Linked DNA regions of Macaca fascicularis. The protein of the gene in region 1 interacts with the protein of each later gene in a pairwise test. Links are inferred from orthologs where the notes say so. Each region holds a gene or a part of one and is shown on either strand. Other genes may lie near its edges.

What was found.
Region 2: the proteins of CD63 (region 1) and TIMP1 interact in binary tests that used the Homo sapiens proteins (3 or more experiments, as listed by UniProt). The link is inferred for Macaca fascicularis from reciprocal best matches to the Homo sapiens genes CD63 and TIMP1.

Annotation. Positions count from the first base shown.
Region 1 is NC_088385.1:62,512,052-62,516,184, reverse strand, and holds the start of CD63 (CD63 antigen), read left to right. Parts: upstream 1-1,277; 5' UTR 1,278-1,330; intron 1,331-1,930; 5' UTR 1,931-1,941; coding exon 1,942-2,007; intron 2,008-2,945; coding exon 2,946-3,134; intron 3,135-3,325; coding exon 3,326-3,400; intron 3,401-3,494; coding exon 3,495-3,590; intron 3,591-4,021; coding exon 4,022-4,133. UniProt on the Homo sapiens protein: Functions as a cell surface receptor for TIMP1 and plays a role in the activation of cellular signaling cascades. Plays a role in the activation of ITGB1 and integrin signaling, leading to the activation of AKT, FAK/PTK2 and MAP kinases.
Region 2 is NC_088395.1:47,678,784-47,683,058, reverse strand, and holds the start of TIMP1 (metalloproteinase inhibitor 1), read right to left. Parts: upstream 2,801-4,275; 5' UTR 2,762-2,800; intron 1,827-2,761; 5' UTR 1,819-1,826; coding exon 1,698-1,818; intron 959-1,697; coding exon 879-958; intron 690-878; coding exon 563-689; intron 355-562; coding exon 230-354; intron 1-229. UniProt on the Homo sapiens protein: Metalloproteinase inhibitor that functions by forming one to one complexes with target metalloproteinases, such as collagenases, and irreversibly inactivates them by binding to their catalytic zinc cofactor.

The DNA of each region.
Region 1 (4,133 bases):
TAAGGAACCTGACGAATACTCCTTTCTTCAGCTCTCCACTCCTCCTCCACTCCTGCCCGCCATGGTCAGGAAGAGCAAGGTCCGGAATGGGCTTGGTGTGTCCCACAGGAAGGCCGTGATCCTGGAAGATGCTTCTCAGCCCAGCCCGGATCTCCTTCCTTTTGCTCTAGAGACTTCTTTCCTTCTTTGTGTACACACATACACCAAGACTCAGGAAGTGGTTCTTGAGGCAGGACCCTAAGAGCCCAAGGAGTGGGTCCGAGGCTGGAGGTGTGGGGGTGTGACGACCGGTCCCACTTTCTGGCCTGTTCAGATCAGCTCCTTCTGGAGACTACCCCTGGCACACAAGGGAGGGAGGCAGCTTGACCCCCTAGCCCGCTTCCAGCCCTCACCTGGCTTTGTCTTCTGGGATAAGACGAGGAAATCCAGAGGATGTAAGCCTCTACCTTCGTGTCTTCCCCCAAACCCTCGCTATCACAGACGATGCAGGAGCTGTCCGGGAGTTGGGAGGGCAGACCTTGTCAATCCTCCCCCAGAGGGCGGGACCCGACGCGGACGTGTATTGATTGACTGGGTAGCGTGGCTTCGGGGAAGGGCTTCCTCCCCTTTTCTCAGACTAGGAACCCTGGAAAATGGAGAAGCTATGCTAATATAGGGGGGTCAGAAATCCCCACTCTAGAATGCGCTAGAATGTTGGGAGACACCCAGGATGTGAGGCCAGGGACTTTCTGGAACTGTTGGTTCTGGCCCCACCCGACCCCAGGCAGTCCCCAGCTGTCTGCACAGTCGGATGGGGAGGGGGCTTGCACAGAGTTGGAGCCAGAGGAGAGAGCTGGGCTACTGGAGAAGGATGGGGAAACCTCTCTCAGACCACCTTGTCACCCGGCCTCAGCTCTCCGCCCCGGCGCTCAGAGGATAACTCTCACCTAGCTCGTCCGCTTCTCTAAACCAGAGTGACCCAGGCTGCGCTCCGCCCTGCTCTCCTACCCCGAGTTGGCACGGAGGCGGGGCGCCAGAGGGGGGCCCCAGGCGCCCCGAGGTCTTGCCTTTTCGGCTCTCCGTTTGCGGGGGGTGGGCGCCTTCTTCCGGGTAGGGGCCACGTGGCCCTGGCCGGGCGGGGGGCTCGGCCCACCCCGCGCCGGGCCCAGTGACTCAGGCCGCAGCTGTTCCCGCGTCACATGAGGGAGGCCGGCGGCCACTGGGCGGGGGAGGGGACCGTGGCTGGAGCCCGGGGCGGGGCCGCGCGGCAGGCGGGGCGGGAGCCGGGGGGCGCAGCTAGAGAGCCCCGGAGCCGCGGCGGGAGAGGAGCGCGCAGCCTTGGGGAGCCCAGGTGAGGCCGCGGGGCCCCGGCAGACTTCGGCGCGGGCTGGGAGAGACCACCGGCGGTCCCTTCCTCCAGGGCTCGCCCCAGGCCCGCGGAGACTCGCCCGGCGCTCTCCAGCCGCCCTCGAGCAACTTTGATTCGAACTTCCCTGGGCCCGGGCAGGGTGTGGCGGGGGTGCCGGCCGCACCTTTTTTTTTTTTTGGTGGGCGGGAGGTCAGAGCCCAGGGGAAAGCGACTGGGGCAGGGGTCGGGGTTGGGCTGAAGACCGTTTCTCCGGGCTGGGTGTTGGGTGGGGAGAGGGTGTTTGACGCCTGGAGACTGAAGGGCCGAGGGTCGGCGTCAGGCTCGAGCCCCTACCGGCGCCCTCGGATCTATCCTGGGCCCCAGAGGCGGCGGGGCGGGGTCCGGGCTTCGCGGCGGTCGCCCCCACCCCTCTCCTGCGGGTAGAGAGGGGGCTGGGAGACGTGGTTCCGACCGCGGGTTTCCGGGTGGGAGGGGCCGGGAATCGGGGCCGTGTAGGGAAGCCCTCGAGGGCCGGCCAGGAGCCCGGAAACCGAGGTCCCCCTTCGGCCAGTTTTAATCCCCCCGCCCTCCTCTCTGCCCCAGGCCCGGCAGCCATGGCGGTGGAAGGAGGAATGAAATGTGTGAAGTTCTTGCTCTACGTCCTCCTGCTGGCCTTTTGCGTGAGTGGCGAGGGGTCCTGGGGGGCGCGCCGGCAGGGTGCGGGGAGACCTGGCTCCACAGTGGTGAGGGCTGAGGGAATAAGAATTAAGGCAGCTGGAGACCAGATGTGGAAAGAAAGCCAGGGAAAGACAGCGCGGCCACTCCCTCCTCCAGTTTTCCTGGACACCTGAGGCTTGTTTCCACCGAGAATGGCCATCCTGGGTGTGCAGCAACCCCTACCCCCATCCCTCCTTCCTGGCCCTTCCTGTCTGGTGACCCAACCACTTGTGATATGGGGCAGTGGGGCAACCAGCCAACCGCCTGATGCTATCGCCACGAGGCTTCCCTTCGCTCTCCCTTCTCCCCTCTCTTCCTCCCCAACCCCCTCATCCCTCTCCAGTCCCTCTCCCCCTTTCTGTCCTCCCAGCGCTTGGGAGCGAGGAAGGGCTCTGCCCACCTCAATTTGCTCCTGTCCTGGGCTCCTGGCTTGAGAGGCTACTGTTTGTCTAGGGAGGGGCACATCACTCTTGCCGCCTTTTCCTCTTCCCTTCTCCTGGCTTAACTGGCCAGAGGAACCTTAGTCACAGCTGATGCGCGTGGGGTGTGCACTGGAGGATAGTGAGGGAGCAGTTCTGGGAGAGAATTGAGCTGGGAGTACTGGAGGCCCGTAGAAAGCATTATTCTAGGTCAGAAATACGTGCCTTGGGGTCAAGGCTTTCTGGGAGGTCTTTGAATTTGGTCACGTCCCTGATTGAAGAGCTGGGAGGGGATCAAGGGAGATGGGGGCAGGAAAGGATGGGTCATCCCCCTTACCTACAGCCAAAGAAGTTCCCTGGAGGTGTGAGAATCTCTCCTCCGGATGGGGTCATGTCTGTGTCCTAGGTGTACCCCTTGCCCTCCACCATGGAGGACCACTGTGTTGTGGATCAGGCCTAATTCTCACCTGCTTTCCTCTTAGGCCTGTGCAGTGGGACTGATTGCTGTGGGTGTCGGGGCACAGCTTGTCCTGAGTCAGACCATAATCCAGGGGGCTACCCCTGGCTCTCTGTTGCCTGTGGTCATCATCGCAGTGGGTGTCTTCCTCTTCCTCGTGGCCTTTGTGGGCTGCTGCGGGGCCTGCAAGGAGAACTATTGTCTTATGATCACGGTGAGTGGGAGGCGGGACTAACATGGGTGGTCTGGGACTGCCAGAGCAACTTGGTTGGTGCTCAGGAAGGTGGGTGAGGTGAGGTGGGTGAGTGAGGAAGACCTTTGTGAGTGTCCAGGGACCGGCTATGCCAGAACGGGCCCCTGTAATGCATAGACTCCAAACCTGACTCCTGTCCTTTGCTCCTGCAGTTTGCCATCTTTCTGTCTCTCATCATGTTGGTGGAGGTGGCCGCAGCCATTGCTGGCTATGTGTTTAGAGATAAGGTAAGCAGGGAATAATGGGAAGGGCCTGCCTCAGCCTGGTCTGGGACCCAGGTGCTTGAATTCTGACGGCAACAGTGCTCCTCCGTACCCTCAGGTGATGTCAGAGTTTAATAACAACTTCCGGCAGCAGATGGAGAATTACCCGAAAAACAACCACACTGCTTCGATCCTGGACAGGATGCAGGCAGATGTGAGTGGGGTTGCTGGGAGCAGGGGTGATGGGAATAGAGAATTCTCATCTCCAAGGCTGGGTGTGGTGGCTCACACCTGTAATCTCAGCACTTTTGGAGGCCGAGGTGGGCAGATCACCTGAGGTCAGAAGTTTGAGACTAGCCTGGCCAACATGGCAAAACCCTTTCTCTACTAAAAATACAAAAATTAGCCAGGTGTGGTGGTGAGTGCCTGTAATCCCAGCTACTCAGGAGGGTGAGGCAGGAGAATCGCTTGAACCCAGAAGGCAGAGGTTGCAGTGAGCCGAGATCAAGCCACCACACTCCAGTCTGGGCAACAGAGCAAGTCTGTCTCAAAAAAAAAAAAAAAAAAAAAGAATTCTCATCTCATCTCCATATTGATGGTGAAGGTTCACTTAACTCCCTTCTCCATATTTCTTCCCTACCCCAGTTTAAGTGCTGTGGGGCTGCTAACTACACAGATTGGGAGAAAATCCCTTCCATGTCGAAGAACCGAGTCCCTGACTCCTGCTGCATTAATGTCACTGTGGGCTGTGGGATTA
Region 2 (4,275 bases), on another chromosome or scaffold:
CAGGGACAGGCGATCACACGGTATTGGACACAGGGCAAGGGAGCAGCCAGAATTTGTAAGGGAGCAGTCTGGGGCTTGGGGAAATAGCAAGAGAGATCAGGGACAGCCCTTAGAGTTTGGGAGCAGCCACAGGGACACAGAATAGCCAGAGGGAGCAAGGAACAAGCCCACGATTTAGGGAAGGGCCGCGGAAGGATCTCCCGTTGGAGGTCAGGGTCCAGGTACTCACTGTGCATTCCTCACAGCCAACAGTGTAGGTCTTGGTGAAGCCCCGGCGCTGAGCTAAGCTCAGACTGTTCCAGGGAGCCACGAAACTGCAGGTGGTGATGTGCAAGAGTCCGTCCTGCAGTTTTCCTAAGGAGAAAGCGGGGGTAACCGACAAGCAGCTTTTGATTGGCTGAGCCGCCAGGCTAGCAAAGGCCCGGCCTTCTGATAGGCTGAAATTGGGATGGTACCCATTTCCAGTGGATCCATTCCCATCAGAGCCTCGCCCCCTCGCTGTTGCTAGGCCGCGCCCCAGGGACTGGTTGGCGTGGCACAGGGCGCGGGGACGGTGCCTCACCAGCAATGAGAAACTCCTCGCTGCGGTTGTGGGACCTGTGGAAGTATCCGCAGACACTCTCCATGGCGGGGGTGTAGACGAACCGGATGTCAGCGGCATCCCCTAAGGCCTGGAACCCTTTATACATCTGTTGATGGATGAGGGGAAGTGTCTCTTTTACTGACATAATCCTCCCACTCCAGGTTCTTCCCTGAAGTCACATAGCATCCCAAGATCACAGCCAACTTTCTTGCACCAACCAGTGGCCAGAAGTTTCTGTTTTGACCAGGAGGAAGATGTTAGAAAATGCTGGGAAAGGGGCGGGAGCAGGGGATACCTTGGTCATCTTGATCTCATAACGCTGGTATAAGGTGGTCTGGTTGACTTCTGGTGTCCCCACGAACTTGGCCCTGATGACTGCAGGAGAGGAGGGAAATATGAGTCAAATGGACTGCATGAGCCAATAAAAATAAGATCATCATCATCATAATACCAGCAACGTGCATACATAAATAGGGGTTATTGGATGCCAGACAGCACACTAAGTGATTTACACATTTGTTTATTGATTCATCTGTATGTTGAGTGTCTCTCTTCGCCAGGCACTGCTTAAGCCATTTTCATCTATTCATTTGTTCATTTACTCCTCAAATATTTGGGAGTGCCCAGACATTCCCACTGGCCCATGCTATATTCAGTGTTGAGCCCAATCTCTCTCCCAGACAGCAAGATCCCATTGCAGTGGTTCCTGTACCCATCACCATTGTCCTGAATATGGTCTTCCTTACTGTGCTATAACAACTATCACCGAATATTTTTCTCTTTAACAGGAAATCAGGAGTACTAAGGGGCAGGGGTTAAAATTTTAAACAAGATGGCCAGGGAAGGCCATCCTGAGAAGGTGACATTTGAGGCAGCCACCCATGTGGATACCTGGGGGGAAAGTGTACCAGGCAGAGGGAGCAGCCAGCACACAGGTCCTGTGGTGGGCTTGGGCACGGAGTACTCAAGAAAGTGTGAGGATGCCAATGTGGCTAAAGCAGAGGAAGAGCAGGGGCGAGTGGAATCATTCTAGAGGTAAGTGCCATCGTGAGCCCCACCGGACTGAGAGGGAAACCAAGGCAGAGTGTGTGGGCTGAGTGGGGTGAGGACTCACCGAGGTCGGAATTGCAGAAGGCCGTCTGTGGGTGGGGTAGGACACAGGTGCAGGCCCTGCTGGGGGCTATCAGCCACAGCAACAACAGGATGCCGGAAGCCAGGGGCTCAAAGGGGGCCATGGTGGGTTCTGTGGGGAAGAGGGATGTCAGGCAGGCCCCAGCCCAGCTGATCTGCTGACCTGGGCAGGTCATCCACCCCATCCTGCCCCGGGGCAGCCTATGGGGGGATTAGGGGACTGGATTTGGGCTTCAGGGGTTGGGAAGCTTGGGGATTTTAAGGGGATTGGGGAGCCCAGAGGAATTTAGGGTTTAGAGAGTTGGGAAAGTTTAAATTATTGAGGGACTGAGTTGCGGGGTTATGGAGCTGTGGCACTTGGGGGAGAAGGGAGCTAAGGAAGTTTGAGGAATGAGGGGATTGGGGAATTCTGGAGGTTGAGGAGTTTGGGGGTGAGGAATTTGGGATTGGGGGCTGGAGGGGTTTGGAGGAGGCAGAGTTTAGGGGTTGTGTGTATTAAGAGATATAGGGGGCTGGGGGAATTTAGGGAGGTTGAGGAATTTGGAGGAGGTTGGGGATTTGGGGAGCTGGGGGAGTTTGGAGGTTGAAGGGGTTGGGGGAATTTGGGGGCTTAAGGCAATGGTGATACTTGAGGAATCTGAGGGCAAAAGAAGTTTGGGAGCTGGGGAGCTGGGAAACTGGGGATTGGGGAGATGGGGGAGTTCAGGGAGCTGCAGGGGTTAGCAGTGGGGATTTAGGAGGCGATGAGGGAAAGTGCTGGATGAAGGGATTTGCGGGGGATTTGGAAAGCATTTGTGATACTAGGGGGTCATGGGTTTGGGAGAGTTGGGGATGGATGTCAGGGGTTCTAGGGAGTTTGGAGCCTCAGGGTTGGGAAAGCGGTTCCAGCCTCCGACCCTCTTCCCCCTAGACTAGCCCAGGATCCTGGTACCCGCAGGCCAAGCTGAGTAGACAGGCATCTAGCACGGGAGTGCACGGGCCTGGTGGCCAGCACCCAAGCTGCGGCCCAGCCCCGGTTCCTGCTGGGCCATCCCGGGCCCTGCTTACCTCTCGTGTCTCTCTGGGCACTGGATCTGCGGCGATGGCGGCAGGGCCTGAGCGCTAGAGGATAAATGTCCACGCTAGGGGCGGGGGTGGCAGCGGGTGCGGAAACCACAGGCCTCCAGGCTTCCTGGATGCATTACTCATCCACCCACCATCAGTGCAGAAGCCAAGGGGCGGGCCGACGAAAGGAGATACACCCTCCTCCTCTCCCACCCCCCTCCTCTCCCTCTCCCTGGGCCTCGCCCGGGCCAGCCCCCTCCCCCACCTCCACGTCAGTCACTATTCCTTCCAAGACGCCTCAGCGGAGAGCTTAGAGGCCGCATTCCCCCCAGCCCAGTCCCCTAAAGTCTCCAGAATCTATCCAATCACCCACATCCCCCAAGCTCCCTATGGCTCAAACCCAAATGAGTTCAGCCCTTCAACATTTATTGTGCATCTACTGTGTGCCAAGCACACAAAAATCCCTTGTTTTGTATGTCTGACATGCTGGTGAGGGGTGGCAGAGAGGAAACAAATTAAATAGCAGCAGTGGAGGGAGATAAGGCAGGTGAATGGGGAGGAACACAAAATGGGGAAACTGAGGCATGGAGTGGTTAAGTGACTTATCCAGGATCATAGAGTCAGTACATGGCAGAACTGAGACTGGAACTCAGGTGGCCAGGAACCAAAGCCAGGGTCTCAAAAAACACAGGCAAATAGCCGGCATTTATATAGCACCGACTGTATACCAGGCACTCAGCATAGTTTATCTCACTCAGAGCTCACAACAAATCTCTGAGATGGGTACCAGTTATTATTCCCATTTTACAGATGAGGAAATATGGGGTATAGAGGAACTGAAGAATTTTCCCAAGATCACAGGACATGGCCAGGATTCGAACTGAGGCTACCTGGCACCAGGATCGTAACTCAGGAGTGGCACCATCCTAGCAAGCAGGGAATGGTGCGGGTGAATGAATGAGCATTGGGAAGGGGGTGGCCATGAATGAAGGTGAAAGAAACAAGTGAGTGGGTCAGTAGAAAACTAGTCCCCACCCCATCCTGCCCTGCCCCTTCCCCACGGACCTATACCCCTGGTGGAGGGTGGGGTGGGGCAATCCTTGCCCACCAGCTTTTTGACAGTGCAGGAATCTTCCCTGGGGTTCTGATTAACACCCTTAATTCGAGGAGGATAGATCAATAATAATAATTGTAGTGATGATGGCAGCCGCTTATTGAGCACTTTCTGTATACTACGTGCTAAAGTATTTGTATAAATTATCTCATTCACTCGCCATACTCCCTTGCTAATTAAGTTTGATTAACTCAGGGATATTAGCCTAATAACAAGAACACAACAAAAACTACCAGCAGCCCTTACGGAGTGCTTACTGCCTATCCAGCACTGTTCTGGGTGGGAGGAAGGTGAGGAATAAGAAATTGCCTAATGGGTACAATGTACACTATTTGGTTGATGGGGACACTAAAAGCCCAGACTTCACCACTATGTAATATATACATGTCACGAAACTGCAGCT